2 linked regions of the Lepisosteus oculatus genome follow. The protein of the gene in region 1 purifies or fractionates together with the protein of each later gene. This does not show direct contact. Links are inferred from orthologs where the notes say so. Each region holds a gene or a part of one and is shown on either strand. Other genes may lie near its edges.

Region 1 (7,661 bases):
CCCAACACCTAGGTACATAAAACAGTTTTCACACCACATTCTGAAGGCCTTTCACATTTTCTTCATTTATTTCAGATTCTCTGGCATTACATGCAGTATGCCAGGAAGAACTACAGTGCATAGAAGAGATCTTCATCAGTAGATGTCTTTCACTGATGGATGAGTTTGCTTTTCCCTACATAGTCCCAGTCTTTATTTTTTTGTAAGGGAAAGGGTCAAACTGCTAAAGCTATTGACTTGACTTGACAACGTATTAAGGATTTAGTGCATCGTTAATTAAATAAGAACAATATCTTTCTTTGACATTTACCCAAATGAACAACTGGGACATTTTGGACACCAAACATCATGAAGGCTTGGGCTAAACTGTGGTTTGTGTTTTATTTTAATGTGGTTGGAACCCCCACATCAAACAAGCAATAATACATATACTTTGTTGTTCATAACTCATACGCTATGTAGTGTAGTAATTGGTGCATACAGTGATAAACGAGGTTTTAAATGGTCATGATGTTTAATTCACAGCAAAATACATGACGTGTAACCAGGAACAGAAAACAGGTCCAGAGAATCCATTATCACACAGCCTCTAGGTGAAAGGCAGGACATACTATACCAACTCATGCTTTGTGACAGAATCTATGAGTTATTAAGTGTTTCATGTATTTTATTACATAAAGAAAGGTTTAAAATTATTTTCTTTTTTTAAATCTATCTAATTTTTTTTAAACCTAGAACTAAGTTAGTTGAGAACAAACACTCATTTTCAGTGACGACCTGGAGACCTGTATATACAGCAGGGCCTTGAAAGCAGCAACTGAACCCACAGTCCTCTGGTCTGGAGCACCAACCAGTACTCCACACTGCTGCTTTCCTCAAGTGATGATGGGTGTGTGCATGTTTCCTGTTTCAAAGAAACAAATTGCTTTAGTTTTTCAGCAGTCCCTTACCTGTTTTCAAGTTACCTACAGCTCCATGAAACCTGCCACAACCCATCGGACATCGGACAGTTAACTTTGATGAATTGTAAAAGTATATTATATGTTTGAGGAATACAATTACACTTACATTACACCCATGTAAACCGTTCCCTTACTTTACATTTTATTTATGTTATGTTTACTGTATGGGATGCACGTCTTGCAAACACATATAGAACTACAAACACTGCTTACTAAGTGCGGCATTTAGTTGAGGAAAAAATGTAAAAATGCAAGTACAGCAGTCATTAAAATGCTTTTCTTACCTGCCACTTAAGCAGGTAAAGGCACTGATCTATAGAAGCTTCACTCACACTGAGGTGTGGTTGTGACTGTTTGCATGCCATATGCTGCCCAGTGTACTGCACGTCCTCTGTCAGGACATTTTTCCTCTGGCAGACGGCAGCAGACTTGATTTTCTGTCAGCATATACTGCTCTCGGCGTTTCACAATACCATATCTACTTATTTACAATTTATATGTATTATATCCACCTGAAACAACTGATGAGCACTTCCAAAATCTATGCTTTAAATATTGAGCAGCCATTCAGAAAACTGCTGTCTGCCAACACCCACACATGGGAGAAAATAATTAAAATGGGAGAAAAATAATTAAAACGTGAATTGGATGAACTCACTGAGGCAAAGAGCTCTGGGCACCATCTGTAGAATCTTATGCAGAGTATGTTACAATTTTCCACTCTGCATTATCAATTTTACCCATCCATGTACATCTTTTCTCTTGGTCCCACACAATGCCTTCCAGATCACACGCTATGTACCACTCCATATCAGCCCTGCTTGGATATGTTTAGTCTGTTATACATTCATGATGTTTGTTTAGATAAATCTTAAAATGTAAATTGCTGTGAGCCCTCAAGCTGGGGTTTATGAACTTAATTGGGAAGCAGGGAGGGTTAAAAGAATGCATAATTACAATACAGCTACAGCGCAGTTTGTCCTTGATTTATGATTTGCATATTCTTGATTTATGCTAATTATCAGACCTACACTTTTCAGCAGTTTTTTCATTGATTGCGTTGCAAATATCCCCCATAGTCTTACCCATTCGATCGTTGAAAACATTTACGTGTGTCTTTCTCATTTTACTAATACGGTATGTGTATGATTCTAAATATTTACTTCATAATATATGTGTTTCTAAATGGTTTTCACAATATCGTCACAATATGAGGGTGGCGATGTGTGGGGGTGGCTCTGGTTGAAATATCTGATGAACAGCTAGGTATTTTGGCAAAGAAAGGACTGCAGCTGCTGCTCAGAATACAGACTTCTGGAGAACCACAGCTGCATGTCTTGGATATTTCTGTAGTAGCAAATTTTGGCATGTCATGACATCTGACTGGGAAGAACCCGAATAATGAAGCAAAGCTGACAGACTGCAAAGGGAGACTCAGAAAACGCAGCTGTCAGAAATACAAGAATGGCAATCTTCAGCAAACACAGACATCAACTTACAAAAAGCAAATACATCTGTGACTACTGTGGGAAAAGGGAAACAATAACTGTACAGGATATCTCATGATATATGCCATGTATATGAATGTACAATATAAGGCTGCTATATCTCATAGTTTCATAGCCATAACAGTAGTTATATCAGAATGATGAGAGTTCAGAAAACATGTTTATGTTATAGGAAAGCAGTGTCTTGCAGTGGAGTGTTTAGATTTAATCAGAGTATTCTTGCTTCTTCTACAGTGGGTGGATCTATTTAATTTTGGTTAAGGAAATGTAATCATCGACTTGTTTGAATCAGACTTTTACCCAGCACTGGCAGAATATTTCCTTTTGCTTTTTAAACATAACAAAAGACCTTCAGTTTTCAAAGTCGATGTACTGTATCAGTCTAAGGTTTGTGTTCTCACCAAATTACAAAAGAAAAAGAATATTCTCCTTTTTCGCTTTCACTCGGCCTGATGCTATATTTTCTGAAGAGCGGTATCCAAATTTGTAGTTTCTTATCCTGCTAGTGACGAGCAAGGTCAGATCCCAATTTATTTAACCAAATAATTTACAATGATGGGACTCAAATTGGAATGTACCAATTTTCCTCTGAGGTTATTTAATGGAGCAAACTGAGAGAGGTAACTTGCTTAGAGGCACTATGTAAGTTGTTCAGCCAAATGACATTGTACAACATCCTGGAGTTGCAAGAATGGGAATCTAGCAGAATAAAATGTTGGTGGACCACTAGGTGGTGCTCTTTCCTCTCTAGACCAGAATTTCCAAATGAGAGCCCACAGTATGGTGACCAGGAACTTGTCTCTGCCTGAAGACCAGTGACCCCTGCAGGCCCCCCAAGTAAACAGTAAAAAAAAAGGCTGGGCAGGCATAGAGAGGGGGTTGGGGGTGGGTCTGGGACGCCAGAACCACTGTGGAGACTTCTGGAGATGTTGTGGGCTCATAGACAATGCACTGATGATGGAAGGTGCCCACTGAAACCCCAAAGACATGTCGCCCCCAGCCCCCGCCTCAAGACTCACGATTAAGGCAAGAAACAGTGGTGCGCTCCCCATCTCTAAGGGATTGTACCATCAATTCCCACGTGTCAGAACTGCAGTAACAAGTGTCATCCTGCTGCTGAGATGTAAGACGGTAGTCTTAGATACGTGGTCATTAAGGATCACTGGGCGCTGTTTGTAAGAGTACGGGTGTTGTTCACCCTGGGATTCAAATTAAATCGCGCTCAGGGATTTTACAAGTAACTTCTCACTTCTTCAACTGACCTGCGGTATAGTGGCAGATAATGGCATCCAGGTGCCAAAGTGAGTCCCCTCTTATGTGTAAAGTGCTTTGGGATCCTTTGGGATGAAAACACGACATACAATGCAATTAATTATTATGATACTACACCACATCACAGTTAATGACGTTCTACTGGCAGTGCATAATTTAAATCCTTGTAGTAGTGGAAACGTGAAAGATAATTCTTTAAACTCTGTGGTTTCGAAGTCAAACGTGTACAAGATCTCGAACGCAAACCTTCGTCAGATACATTACGAAGTACTGATTTACCCTCGTTGACATAATCTACTTTTGGTCTGCTTTCGTAATATGCAAGGTATAGGTTAAATACAATACATTTGATATATTTATAATGAAGAGCTCAATAAGACAAATCGGTATTCGTTATGTTCATTTACAAAACTGTAACCGATAATAAAATCGTTTCCTTGTCATTGAACACACGCTCGAATGCAATCAGGTTTAACGACTTAATACTACCGAAGGACTCTAAATACCAATTCCCAAATGCAGTTTTCCACGCACCGTAGCTCATCTCTGACCGGGCCTGCCTGTAAATGCAGACAGCGGTATAAAATATCCGTTTTTTTTTTTAACCTGAAGGTGGCGCTACCGCTCACTCTTCGGGCTTCTGCCGCCCTCCACATATTCCATATAGTAGTCAAAGCGAGCGTTACAGCTTCTGGCAGCGAGTGAGCTGTCCACATGTACAAACTAGCAGTGGATCATGGGAGTTGGAGTTCTTTTGACCCGTCGCGCTGTAGTTACAGCCGACAAGAGCACTGCATCTCCCGGTATGCGCCAACGCTCCCTTGGAGCGCATCCCAGGGGATGACTTCACGACAGTCCGCAGCCCCCCCTCCCATCAGTATTAACTGAGCAGGAGGAGAAGCTCAGGGCACCAGAAGCCGCAACCATGAACTAGATTTAAAAGAGACCAGTATAACGGTCTGGGGGGAAGAAGAAAAAAAAGGGCTGGTTTTCGCGTATGAAACAAAAAAAGCGGAAGGGCTGAAATACAGCAACTGCTAGGGAAGGAGAGCAAACATGCAGTTCAAACGCAGAAGACTTTAAAACCCCCTTTTTTTAAAATCAGAAGGGGCGTTTGCGGTCCTTCCAGAGGCGAGGGATCCGGTTCAAGCTTCTCTGCTCACTGCTTTTAGATCCCCACCCCGCTTGCGTGTGCCGCCGGCCAGCCGAGATCAAGATGTCCGTGGACGAGTATCCCGGGTCGGTGGTGGTGCCGGACGCCGGACCGCAGTGGCTCCGGGCGGAGGTGGAGCGGCTGTCCCGGGAGCTGAGCGAGACGACCCGGGAGAAGATCCAGGCTGCCGAGTACGGGCTGGCGGTGCTGGAGGAGAAGCAGCAGCTGAAGCAGCAGTATGACGACCTGGAAGCCGAGTACGAGACCGTCCGACAGGAGCTCGACCAGCTCAAAGAGGTACGGGATACATTGTAATAAAAAAAAAAAGAAACAAACAGAAATGTTTGCCCGCAACGTTGTTGCGCAGGCGGTGAAACATTTCTCGGCAAGTCGCTGATTCAGCTTGGTCTTCAGCTGTCAAAAGGAATATCGGTTAAGACAGGGGGTTGTTGGGTTTTTTTTTTAAAACGTTTTCTTGGGAAGGATACGCACTGCATCCGTCGGGAGAGGGATTATGTCCTCAGCTGTCCCCGTTTCCGTTAAAACAAGATCGTCTTTTCAGGGTTAAAAACGTTGGCATCTCCAACGCTGTAGCCCTAGATATCGGCGCTGCTGGTGTGGCACTTGACGATCACCAGATTCAGTTTGTCGCATTCAGTCTCCACCCCACCTCCGGGGTTATGTTGTCTTTTATATGCAACTATATATAGGGTGTCCGAATTCAGTTTGGCAGTTTAAGTTTCCTTTATAACGTCAAAAGAGATGCAGAAGCATTTTGTAGCATAAACTTTCAACGAAAAACTAGGCGTATCCATTTGCAAGAGGAGTTCGCGTTCTCGTTTGAATGGTATCTTTACAACTACAGCTCTTCAGAAACGTTTGAACGAAGAAACAGAAGTCGGGATTCGTTCATTTAGATTTTTTGTTAGGTTTTTAAACGGGTTCAACCGGCCCCGTTGTGATTTTTGTTCCGTTTTTGAACCTTTATTGCAGTTTTTGTTTCCCCTCGATTAGATCTATCGCCCTCTACAGGGCGGCCGGCTGATTATGGAAGGGAAGACGAATTTGGCTTGGATAACGTTGAGATAACCTCGCATTTTAGTCAGCTATTAAATCTGGTAGATTTTCATGTTTTGATTTTACACACACATGTATATATATAACCTAAATGCCTCCTCTAGAATGTCATATATGAATATAGACTAATATATAGTAAGTGAAAGCTATTGAAGTTGCCCTTTTTAATTTTAATGTACCTGCTAGTTACATTAAAATGTATATAGGGTGTTTATCTTGAGATTGGGCGCTGCACAAACTGAAGAGCCTTATTGTTAGTAGGTTAAGCCAGCCTGAGACCAGTCGACCAGTGAGTTTAAAGTGCGTCGAGGAATGGACGGACAAGTTTTGACCGTGGTGGAATGTGAGGAATGCTGGTGGGTTCCCTGGTGGAGGGGGAACCCTGAAGGATCAAGTTATTTTCGCGCCAGAATGAGTGTCTGCAGCCTCAACAGGCGGTAAACTGGTGATGTCGATTATATACTGTAAGATTAGCAGGTTCAGACAAATGTTTAAGATTCGTCTGAGGATGCCATTCTGCAAAAGAAAGTGGTCAAATATGGAGCTCGTTGGTGGTTTTCACTGCAGTGTGAGAAACAGAACGCCTCTATAGTGCTAGAGTGCCTCAAGAACAAAAGATTTATAGGGCAAGAAATAGCAGAGTATTTTACTTTGGTAGGGCATTTTGTTTTACTGTTATTTTTCAGTATAAATATTATACTTTCAAGACAAAAACTACATTAGGAGTATTTATACATGTGGAGATCTGCATTTAGTGGGAAACTATAACCATGATGAATATGTATATATTCAGTACATAATCCATACCCAATATCTGCAATGATACCCAGTATATGTCAATTTATCTAAGGTTTTTTTTAGATATTGTTATTAGCTCTGTGTTGTAGTGCTCAGCTTTTTTTAGTTTTTTTTTAAACAAAAAATTATTAGTGTATGATATTTAGAAAGTGAAGGAACTGTTATCGTTTTTTTACAATAATTCGAGGATTCAATAAATGTGGGGAAAAACCATTTTCTGTAATTGCCAAGCAAACACAGAAGACACTGCATCTCAGTGTTGGGTCTTGTTTATTTCTCCGCGGGTGTGCGTATTTGAGTAGTCTTGTCTCTTTTTTTCTTTGTTCAAACAAATTGTAGGAACTCGGAACAGGAACCACAAAGCCCTTTCATTGTTTCTCAGTGTATTCCAGCAGTACAGTTGGGGTGTATGCACTCTTCTCCGATGCAGGGGAGAATGGAGCTCTCTTTGTGCAGACAGCAGAAAGCCCCTAGGTGCACAGTTTGAGGGATGGTCTGGTGAGGAACCAGCACTGAGCTGCAGGCAGTGACTTCAGCGTTTCCACCTCTCGCTGGGCAGCCGGTCTGTGACTGAAAGGGGCCGTGAGGCTGCCTGTACAGTGATTCATTTCCCATGCATTCCTCTGGCTCTCCCACAACACTTAGGGAGAGCAAGCTGTTGTTTGGCCTGTCTCAACGGGTAACCAAGACAACACAAATGAGTGTTTTACAGGAAAATTATGGCCTGAAAACCTCTTTCCACCACAGTCTGATTATCCAAAGTCTTTTTCGGCTTTTTAAAGTCGGTTCGCAATTCCAGATGCAGGCTGGTGAATGTGGCTGTTATGAAGAAAATGTAATAGGCTTAACTCTTTGGGAAGCAGAAATGAGTTGAATTAACTGTTCGCGAGA
Region 2 (7,791 bases), on another chromosome or scaffold:
ATGCTTTTTCCCTGAGCTTTTCAAATGCTATCCATAATCATCATTTTGACCCTCATAGAGTAGAGCTGATCTGTTCACTTTGGAAATAAATGTTTATCTTCAAGTGAGCTTTAAATCTACTTTTAAATCCACAGTCTTTATAATTCATCTCACATTGTTTACCACTATGTTTGATCTCTTGTACCTTAAAATTAGTTTCACGTTTCAAAGTTTCATTTCACTAGAACTTAAAATTAAAACATAGAACTGCCAATTAAGGGAGCCACTGTTGCATTTCCTACATAATTGTGAACCAGAGCCCTATTGCCGAGAATTGCTTGGTCTGAAACTGAAATATTTAATGTCATGGAAATAAATGTTTTAAAAAAAAACAAGAAATCAAAGAAAAAAAGAAAAGAAAAAAATAACCACTAAAGGAGTTTAAAATAATCAAACAAAATCTTTATTTTTAATCACAGTAAATAAAACATCACAAAACCTTCTGTTCAAAAATTAATATATTCCAGGAACAGTACAATGGAGTTTTCCGTTAGCTCACAAAATTATTCTGATTGTTCGGTTCATTTATCATTTGAGAATTGTAGCACCCATCCTAATTATCAGCTAATCCTAGAGCTAGGAATCTGTCTCTGGAGATACAGAAGACAAATACATATATATGCTGTATATCCAAAAGCTTAGTTTTACCAATACTTACTTCCCCATATATTAAGCATCTCATGATATTTCAGTTTAAATATAATCTTATCCTGATTAACTTGCGTCTGTATTATTCACACCATCTTTAATACAAAATCAGCTAAAAATGAAAGTAACAAAAAAACATATGCTTCTGCTTGACATGTTAAGTCATATGATGTCATCATAAGAACGTACTGTATGGTGAACAAGGCTGCAGAAATATTAAGGCCACCAATGGTCCCAAACCCAAACCTTTCTGACAGACAAAAATCACGAAACAATCCAGGCACATTAATGAAACATAGATCTGAAACAGAAAAGAAAACAAACTTAAAACACACAAAACAATTGTGATAAATACAAAAAAAAGGTAAATACAGAACATAAAATATAGAAAATATAAAACAAAAACTTAATACCATCAGTTGAAAACATATACTGTAGGTCTACTCAGCACATGGTCCTTCTTCACCTGAAGTCTAGCCCAGCTACTTTGGCATCTGTGTTGTAGAAGATCTACAGTATAATGAGTGAGGGGTCTCACTCTTACTCACCATGGAAACGGCCATGGCCGGTTGTAGGAAACTGGAGTCGCTGGGAAAACGTGTGAACATGGGAAGAACATGCAACCTCCACCCAGAATGACCACAGCCCAGAATCAAACCCAGGGCTCTGAGGTAGCAGTGCTATCCTCTACACTACACTATATATTTAGATATATGTTAATGTAAATATGTACTGTAGAAGTATTCTTACATATATTTACCAGATATACAGTACTTCTGTACATTTACACAAACTAGACATTAAGCAGACAGAAGCAAAGGAAAACAGACTAAAACACTGTGTAACACAAGCTGTCTGGTAGTACTATATGTACTGCAGTAGTGCTTTTATGCACTGGGTGGATGAGAAGTGCAATTCTGGCACAGTGAGCAGGTCTTACAGACTAACTGTGTTAAGGGGGAAATTTCTGCAAAGATTTGTCATTGACAAGCCCACACATGCATGCCACAGAAGGCTTCATCTCTGGTCAAAGGCCAAGAAGGGCACTGTTAGAATCCCTGACTCTCTTTGGTATGATGTGTGCTGCTGACTGGCCAAAGATGGTGATCAGAAAAAGCAGTATAAATTCTGCCTAATGTCAATAGGGGTCTCAAGTGTGGCTCAGACAAGTCTTTGCCAATACTCACCTGTCCTAAGACACAATAATTGCTCTGGATGAAAGACATTACAGCTCTGCCATGTCACTGGACACACAAAACCGGTCCTTGCGAAAGAGTCCCAATAATCCCAGAACTGGATCCCAGTGAGATCTGTGCTAGACCAGCTAGGCCCACAGACCAGTGGATTGCTGATCTCATCTACAAAATACTGAACTAACATCTTGATGCACTAAAAAAGTCAAAAGGTGGCATCACATAGTAACAACCCTATTCATTATTATGTTGTAATGACTGTACAGGCAGATAATAAAACACTATTCTGCCGAGAGTCTCCATACTTCCGTCAAATTTGTTACTACATGTATGTTAATTACATCCATCATACTGATACCATACATAATTAGTAAGTCAATAAATACGCATACTGCAAGAAAGAAATAAACGACCTACTGTTTTGCTCCGTCATTTCATTTTAATGCTTCTATTATGTACGAGACGCTTTCCTTCAAAACATTAATATCTACATACAATACGAAAATGAATCGTATTAGGTCAAAAATAAAACAACCTAGCTGGGCTCACCACCAGTGATGTGCAGCGTTTTCCCTGCCGTACTGCATGAAAAGGAAATAAAAACATTCAGAAAGGGGAAAAAAAAACAACAGAAAAAAGCAACAGAAAAATGAAATGACACGGCATTCAGAACAACGCAGGCTCACGCGTATTTAAAATGCATGTCGTACCTTCTTGTCTGTATTCGCCCCTCTAGATGGTTTTTCAGAAAACTGCTGTATCACCGCAGCCCGCAACTGCCGGCCTGACTCCCTGCAAGTGACAGCAATTCTGAACGTGTCGTAGCTGCAAAAAAAAAACCCTGTTGTTTAAAATCCCACTCGAAAAGAAGAAACTAGAACGCACTAAAAAAATGCACCTACGCGGCTCCGATCTCCCCTCCTAAGTGTATCACTACACTATCTGATGTACTTCCTTTCCTTCTCTCAACCGGTGGGATACGCAGGAAATCCCACCTTCTGTCCCGACAATGAATGATGTCAATCCCTGGAATAATTCTGCAGCAGATGCGGCTTGTTATTTGAATTGCATCGTTAAAATGGCGTTCAGACGAAGAAAGCCGAGACGAATACATGAGAACACCGGTTTGTATTCAGACTTGAATCTAAAAATATTAACCACGGTACACTGCATATTTTATTCTGCATATTTTATGCCTGCATCAGATTTGTCCTAATGTAATGTAGTACAAAATACAAGCTTCCATTCAACATTTTTCGATAGCATGATTACAGACGCACTGTACCATCAATAGTGGATACACTGAATGTATCAGATTAATGTCTTACTGATTTGAAATTATAGATAATACTCACTGATTAGAATTTGTGTAGAAATCCCCAAGAATGTCTCCTTAAATGCCTTATATAATTTAAAGATTAAAATTAGCATTTGAGGGCAACAGGATAACTGATTCTAGTACAGTATTTAAAATGGTCAAAGGAACAGACAGAGACCTGAGCAGAATCATTTGTTCAAAGCCCAACCAAGGGAAAGTGCATTTTATGCTGAGCAAGAGGCCTTTTTCTAACACAAATGGCGGTGGGAGTCAGGAGCAAGTTTCTCACCCACGATGCCGAAGAAATGGCTGGATGGGATTCCTCAGATCAATAGGTCACAAAAAAACACATACTGTAGGCTAGATGGGCTCACTCTGTGGTCTGTGTGGATCCTAATGCCCCAGTATAGTGACGGGCATACTATACTGTAAAAGGGTGCCATCCTTTGGATGAGACATAAAACTGAGGGCCTAACTCGTTAAAAAACAAAAAAAAGTAGGGATGTTAATCCTGTGTCCTGACCAAATGTCTCATTGGCCTTTACCAATTGTGGCCTCCTAGTAACCCCCATCTCTGAACTGGCTTCATCACTCTGTTCTCCTCCCCACTGAGAGCTGGTGTGTGGTGATCGTACTGGTGCACTATGACTGCCGTCGCATCAGCCAGGTGGGGCTGCACACTGGTGGTGGTGGAGGGGAGCCCCTGTTACCTGTATAGGGCTTTGAGTGGAGTGTCTGGAAAAGTGCTACAGTATTTAAGTGTAAGGAATATTATTATTATGAACCCTAGAACGAGCACACACCTATTCGAGGGGGGTAGGGAGGTGGGAATGTGTGTAGTGGAGCAAAACTCATTTGGCTGATTGACGTCCGGTGACTGGGGCTACTGTGTCAGATAGGAGGGGATAAACACAGTCACTCCTCCTGTCTCTGAGGAGTCGAAGGGACATGCAGGTGCTGGAAGCATGTTTGTCTCATGAGCTCGCTGTCCTTTCTGGTACAAAAATGCATGTACAGTCTGTACAGTAGCTGCCCGGTTTGTCTCACTGGGAGATGACAGCCACATTGACACACTCTGCTGTTAAAGCTTAGATTATTCCTCTGGGAATAACAGCACCCAAGAATTAAAGGGTATTGAAAGGCCAGGGCACGAGGAGGCTGGGACCCCTCTACAGAGTGCCCAGGTGCAGATGGGGTGGAGGAGGGATGACAGAAGACAAATGCAAAGGAGAGAAGGGGCTTAGGATTAGTATTGATAGTATTTTTTAACTCAAAGAAACGTCAGGAATGATCAAGACTCAGGACACAGGTGGCTCTGTGGCTCAGGATCGGTGCCTGTGGCTGGAAGGTTGCTGGTTTGTATCCCGCAGCCAGCAGAGGAATCCTACTTCGTTGGGCCCCTGAGCAAGGCCCTTAACCCCAACTGCTCCAGGGGCGCCGTACAATGGCTGACCCTGCGCTCTGACCCCAAGCTTCTCTCCCTGCCTGTGTGTCTGATGGAGAGCAAGCTGGGGTATGAGAAAAAGACAAAATTCCTAATACAAGAAACTGTATATGGCCAATAAAGTGATCTGATCTTATCTGAGACCGATTGGCTTGCTGCTGTCACCCCTCCCATATTTGTGTTGTAAACTCCATTTAATCTTTGCTTTCTGTCCCAACAATCTAATTTTCAAAGACCCTGCTTATTGATGTTCTACATACCGTTGTTATCTGGGGCTGTGTGGGAGCCAGAGCCTAACCTGGCAAGCCCAAGGCAGGATACACCCTGGACGGGACACCAGTCCATCACAGGCCAGACACAGACACACACACACTCACACCAGGACCGATTTCCCCAGAAGCCAATTAACCTACCAGTATACTAAAACTGGAACGATACAGAGATCGACAAGAGGTGAAAATAAAATTAAGGACACTAACTAAACAGCAGGTACAAGAGAGAAAACTACAGCATCACCACATCAAAAAAAGAAGTTTACAGGCAGCCCAAATGTGGCTGAGTGCCAGGTTCTTTTGGGGATGGTGCTGCAGGACAATTGCGCGCACTAACGAAAGTCATTCATTTCGAGGCAGTTACTGCCATTGTTCAACGAAACTCGGGACGTGAAAGTAAACAGCTCAATTTTTCTGCGGTACCCATCCCCGGGCCTCTCGGCTATTTTCAAGAGGGGTGTCCCGGCACTTGTTTGTGCCACGGCCAGCCCTCCCTATCCCTGTCATGATTGGTTTCAGGTACTGTCAGTCTCCTTGTGGTCAACCTCAGCCTGCTGTTTGTTGCTGTGAGGAAGCGTAGAGTTAACGGAAGGCTCTTGACGGGAGAATGCAGCTGAGAGACGGTTTCAGGAGCCTGTCGTGAGTTTCAAGAAGTCCAATCGCAAGACTGAAGAAAACCAACATGTTTCTTTAGTCCAGATTCTCGCGTCGCTTTTCTGTGGAAGGAACTGCTTGGCGACCCAGGGCTAAAAAAAAAAAAAACAAACCCCAACGCAAAACGGATTTACAGCAGAAGGAAGGTGCATCGCGTCCCAAAGACGACTCAGGGTCATTGGATTCGAGGCAGAAGTCAGCATGAAGTTTGCACAATTTTTAATCAAGAACGCCGCAATGGCAAATGTGCCAAAGCAAATCGAGAGATTCTGCAAGTACTCCCCTTCGCCGTTGTCAATGAAGCAATTCTTAGATTTCGGTGAGGGTTTGTTCTCTTAGGTATTATGAAGTCTTGTCGACTGCTGAGCTACCGTGCAGTTATTACTGTAATTGTAATTTACCATCTGTGGACGCACAATTCTTTCGAGTCGGAAATGTCTTTTTTTAGGCTGTTGCGCGAAGCAAGGAGAGGTCTGCTCAGTACAGACCAATTTTAACGCGACGCACAGGGGCAAATGCGTGCTTTCTCTTTTATTTCCGAATATTTTCATGAGATGTGTGTTGGAAGGATTCCTTACGAATGTCTAGGAAAATACGGAAACACTCTCGGGACACACGAGTCTCGGGTGTGCATGCTGTGTGCAGCCCGTGACAGCTGGAGCTGTTTTTCTCGTTCAAAAAAGCAACGTGTCTCCAGTTGTCCGGTCTCGGACGGAAAGGCGCTGATGATGTCTTACAATTTCCTCCCACCGTTATGCCAGTAAACACATGTTTTTATTGTTGTGGTTGTTGTTTTAAAAGAGGTCGTGGTAATGCGTGGTACTGTAGTTTACAGCGGGGTTTGTTTTCTTTTTTTTTTTTGCTTTGCGGTTCCCTTCGTCGTCTGATATTAAGCGCGCTGCCCAGCTGTTGTTTTGGTGATTCACGACGTTTTCAGCGTCTACTTTGATGCCACCCACTGTCCTGGTTAGGTTAGCGTCGGCATTCAAGCTCAAGAGCCCTTCCTGCCCGTCATTACTTTCTACTTCACGAATTACTTTTTAAACCCCCCGATACCTGCGCCAGTGACGTCATCCCTAGCGGTTACAGTGCGCGTTCTAAGAAGCCCCATCAGTTTCTAATGAGCTCCACACATGGAGCAAAGCTACAAAAACAAGGCTCCCTTTTCTCAAGATCACTGAAGGACGTTCATAGAAATCGTCGAATCTTAATGGAACTATTAAGAATAGACACCTTTGCGCTCATCGGTTTTTAATCTCGACAGTTAATCACCCCTGTACTACTGTACATTGTTGTTCCCCCTGTCGTTTCTCTAGGTTCTTCCAATGCCTGCGAGAAGACCTCTTTCGTGTTCCTGAGGCAGGAACTCCCTGTCAGATTGGCTAACATCATGAAAGAAATTGATTTCCTTCCTGACAAACTTCTGAGTACCCCATCCCTGCAGTTGCTGACCAGTTGGTAAGGAGGGATTTCGTTTTTTTTTTTAATGCATTTTGCTTGCAGCAACACTGTAGCTACTGGATTTCTCCAAACCTAATATTCGAAAACGGATTACAGCTAATTCGTTAGCGAATGCATTTCATTTAATAGCTTGCTGCTTCTTGTTAGGAACTGTTGCTTATTATTTCTGTTTTGCATTGTGGATGACTCTGCTGCTGCACAGTCATTTTAACAGAAAATGGTTCATAAGAAGGTCACTAGTGAAAGCCAGATGTCGCACTGTCATCTTTTACTAAAATGTCGTCTCTGGATCCATGCTTCTTTCTAGCTATGCACTGTGCTGAGTATAAGGTTTGAAATCAGTTACTCGGGGGAGCCCAGAGTTTCACTGCTATGGCAGAGCTAGAGTTTTGACAGCCGTAGCAACTGTATGGCTTGCAAAATGAAAGGCCCTTTTCCAAGCTTATGTTGCATCTACTGTCCATTTTAAATCCCAAAGTAATACCCTAAAAATGTAAAACAGACTTCCCTTTTCTGGCAAATGGGCAAGATGGACCCATGTTCTTGTTTGAGGCATTTCTTACAGTACATTCTGTACCTCACTATGACACATTCATTTTGCCATGATGAGTTACAGCAAGCCGTGCATGCAGGTGTGATTGTTGTATTACTCGTTTCTGCAAGGTGAGTTCATGAATAAAGGCATGGCAGTTTCATTATGTCCCCTGTCATTCAGCTGTCATTTACGAGCACTGCGGTGTAAAAAGACACCCAGAGAACATT

What was found. Proteins that work in one complex are often made in the same cells at the same time.
Region 2: the proteins of protein bicaudal D homolog 2 (region 1) and cytoplasmic dynein 1 intermediate chain 1 purify together in Homo sapiens (affinity purification with western blotting; 4 studies listed by BioGRID and IntAct, with this or other methods). This does not show direct contact. The link is inferred for Lepisosteus oculatus from reciprocal best matches to the Homo sapiens genes BICD2 and DYNC1I1.

The regions. Positions count from the first base shown.
Region 1 is NC_090699.1:63,445,054-63,452,714, reverse strand, and holds the start of protein bicaudal D homolog 2, read left to right. Parts: upstream 1-4,642; 5' UTR 4,643-4,958; coding exon 4,959-5,192; intron 5,193-7,661. UniProt on the Homo sapiens protein: Acts as an adapter protein linking the dynein motor complex to various cargos and converts dynein from a non-processive to a highly processive motor in the presence of dynactin.
Region 2 is NC_090705.1:4,229,812-4,237,602, forward strand, and holds the start of cytoplasmic dynein 1 intermediate chain 1, read right to left. Parts: upstream 3,012-7,791; 5' UTR 3,005-3,011; coding exon of another isoform or gene 2,995-3,004; coding exon 2,876-2,994; exon of another isoform or gene 2,783-2,875; intron 2,706-2,782; coding exon 2,591-2,705; intron 2,462-2,590; coding exon 2,430-2,461; intron 1-2,429. Other genes in the region: pdk4 (pyruvate dehydrogenase kinase, isozyme 4), read left to right, coding at 5,770-5,887, 6,885-7,026. UniProt on the Homo sapiens protein: Acts as one of several non-catalytic accessory components of the cytoplasmic dynein 1 complex that are thought to be involved in linking dynein to cargos and to adapter proteins that regulate dynein function.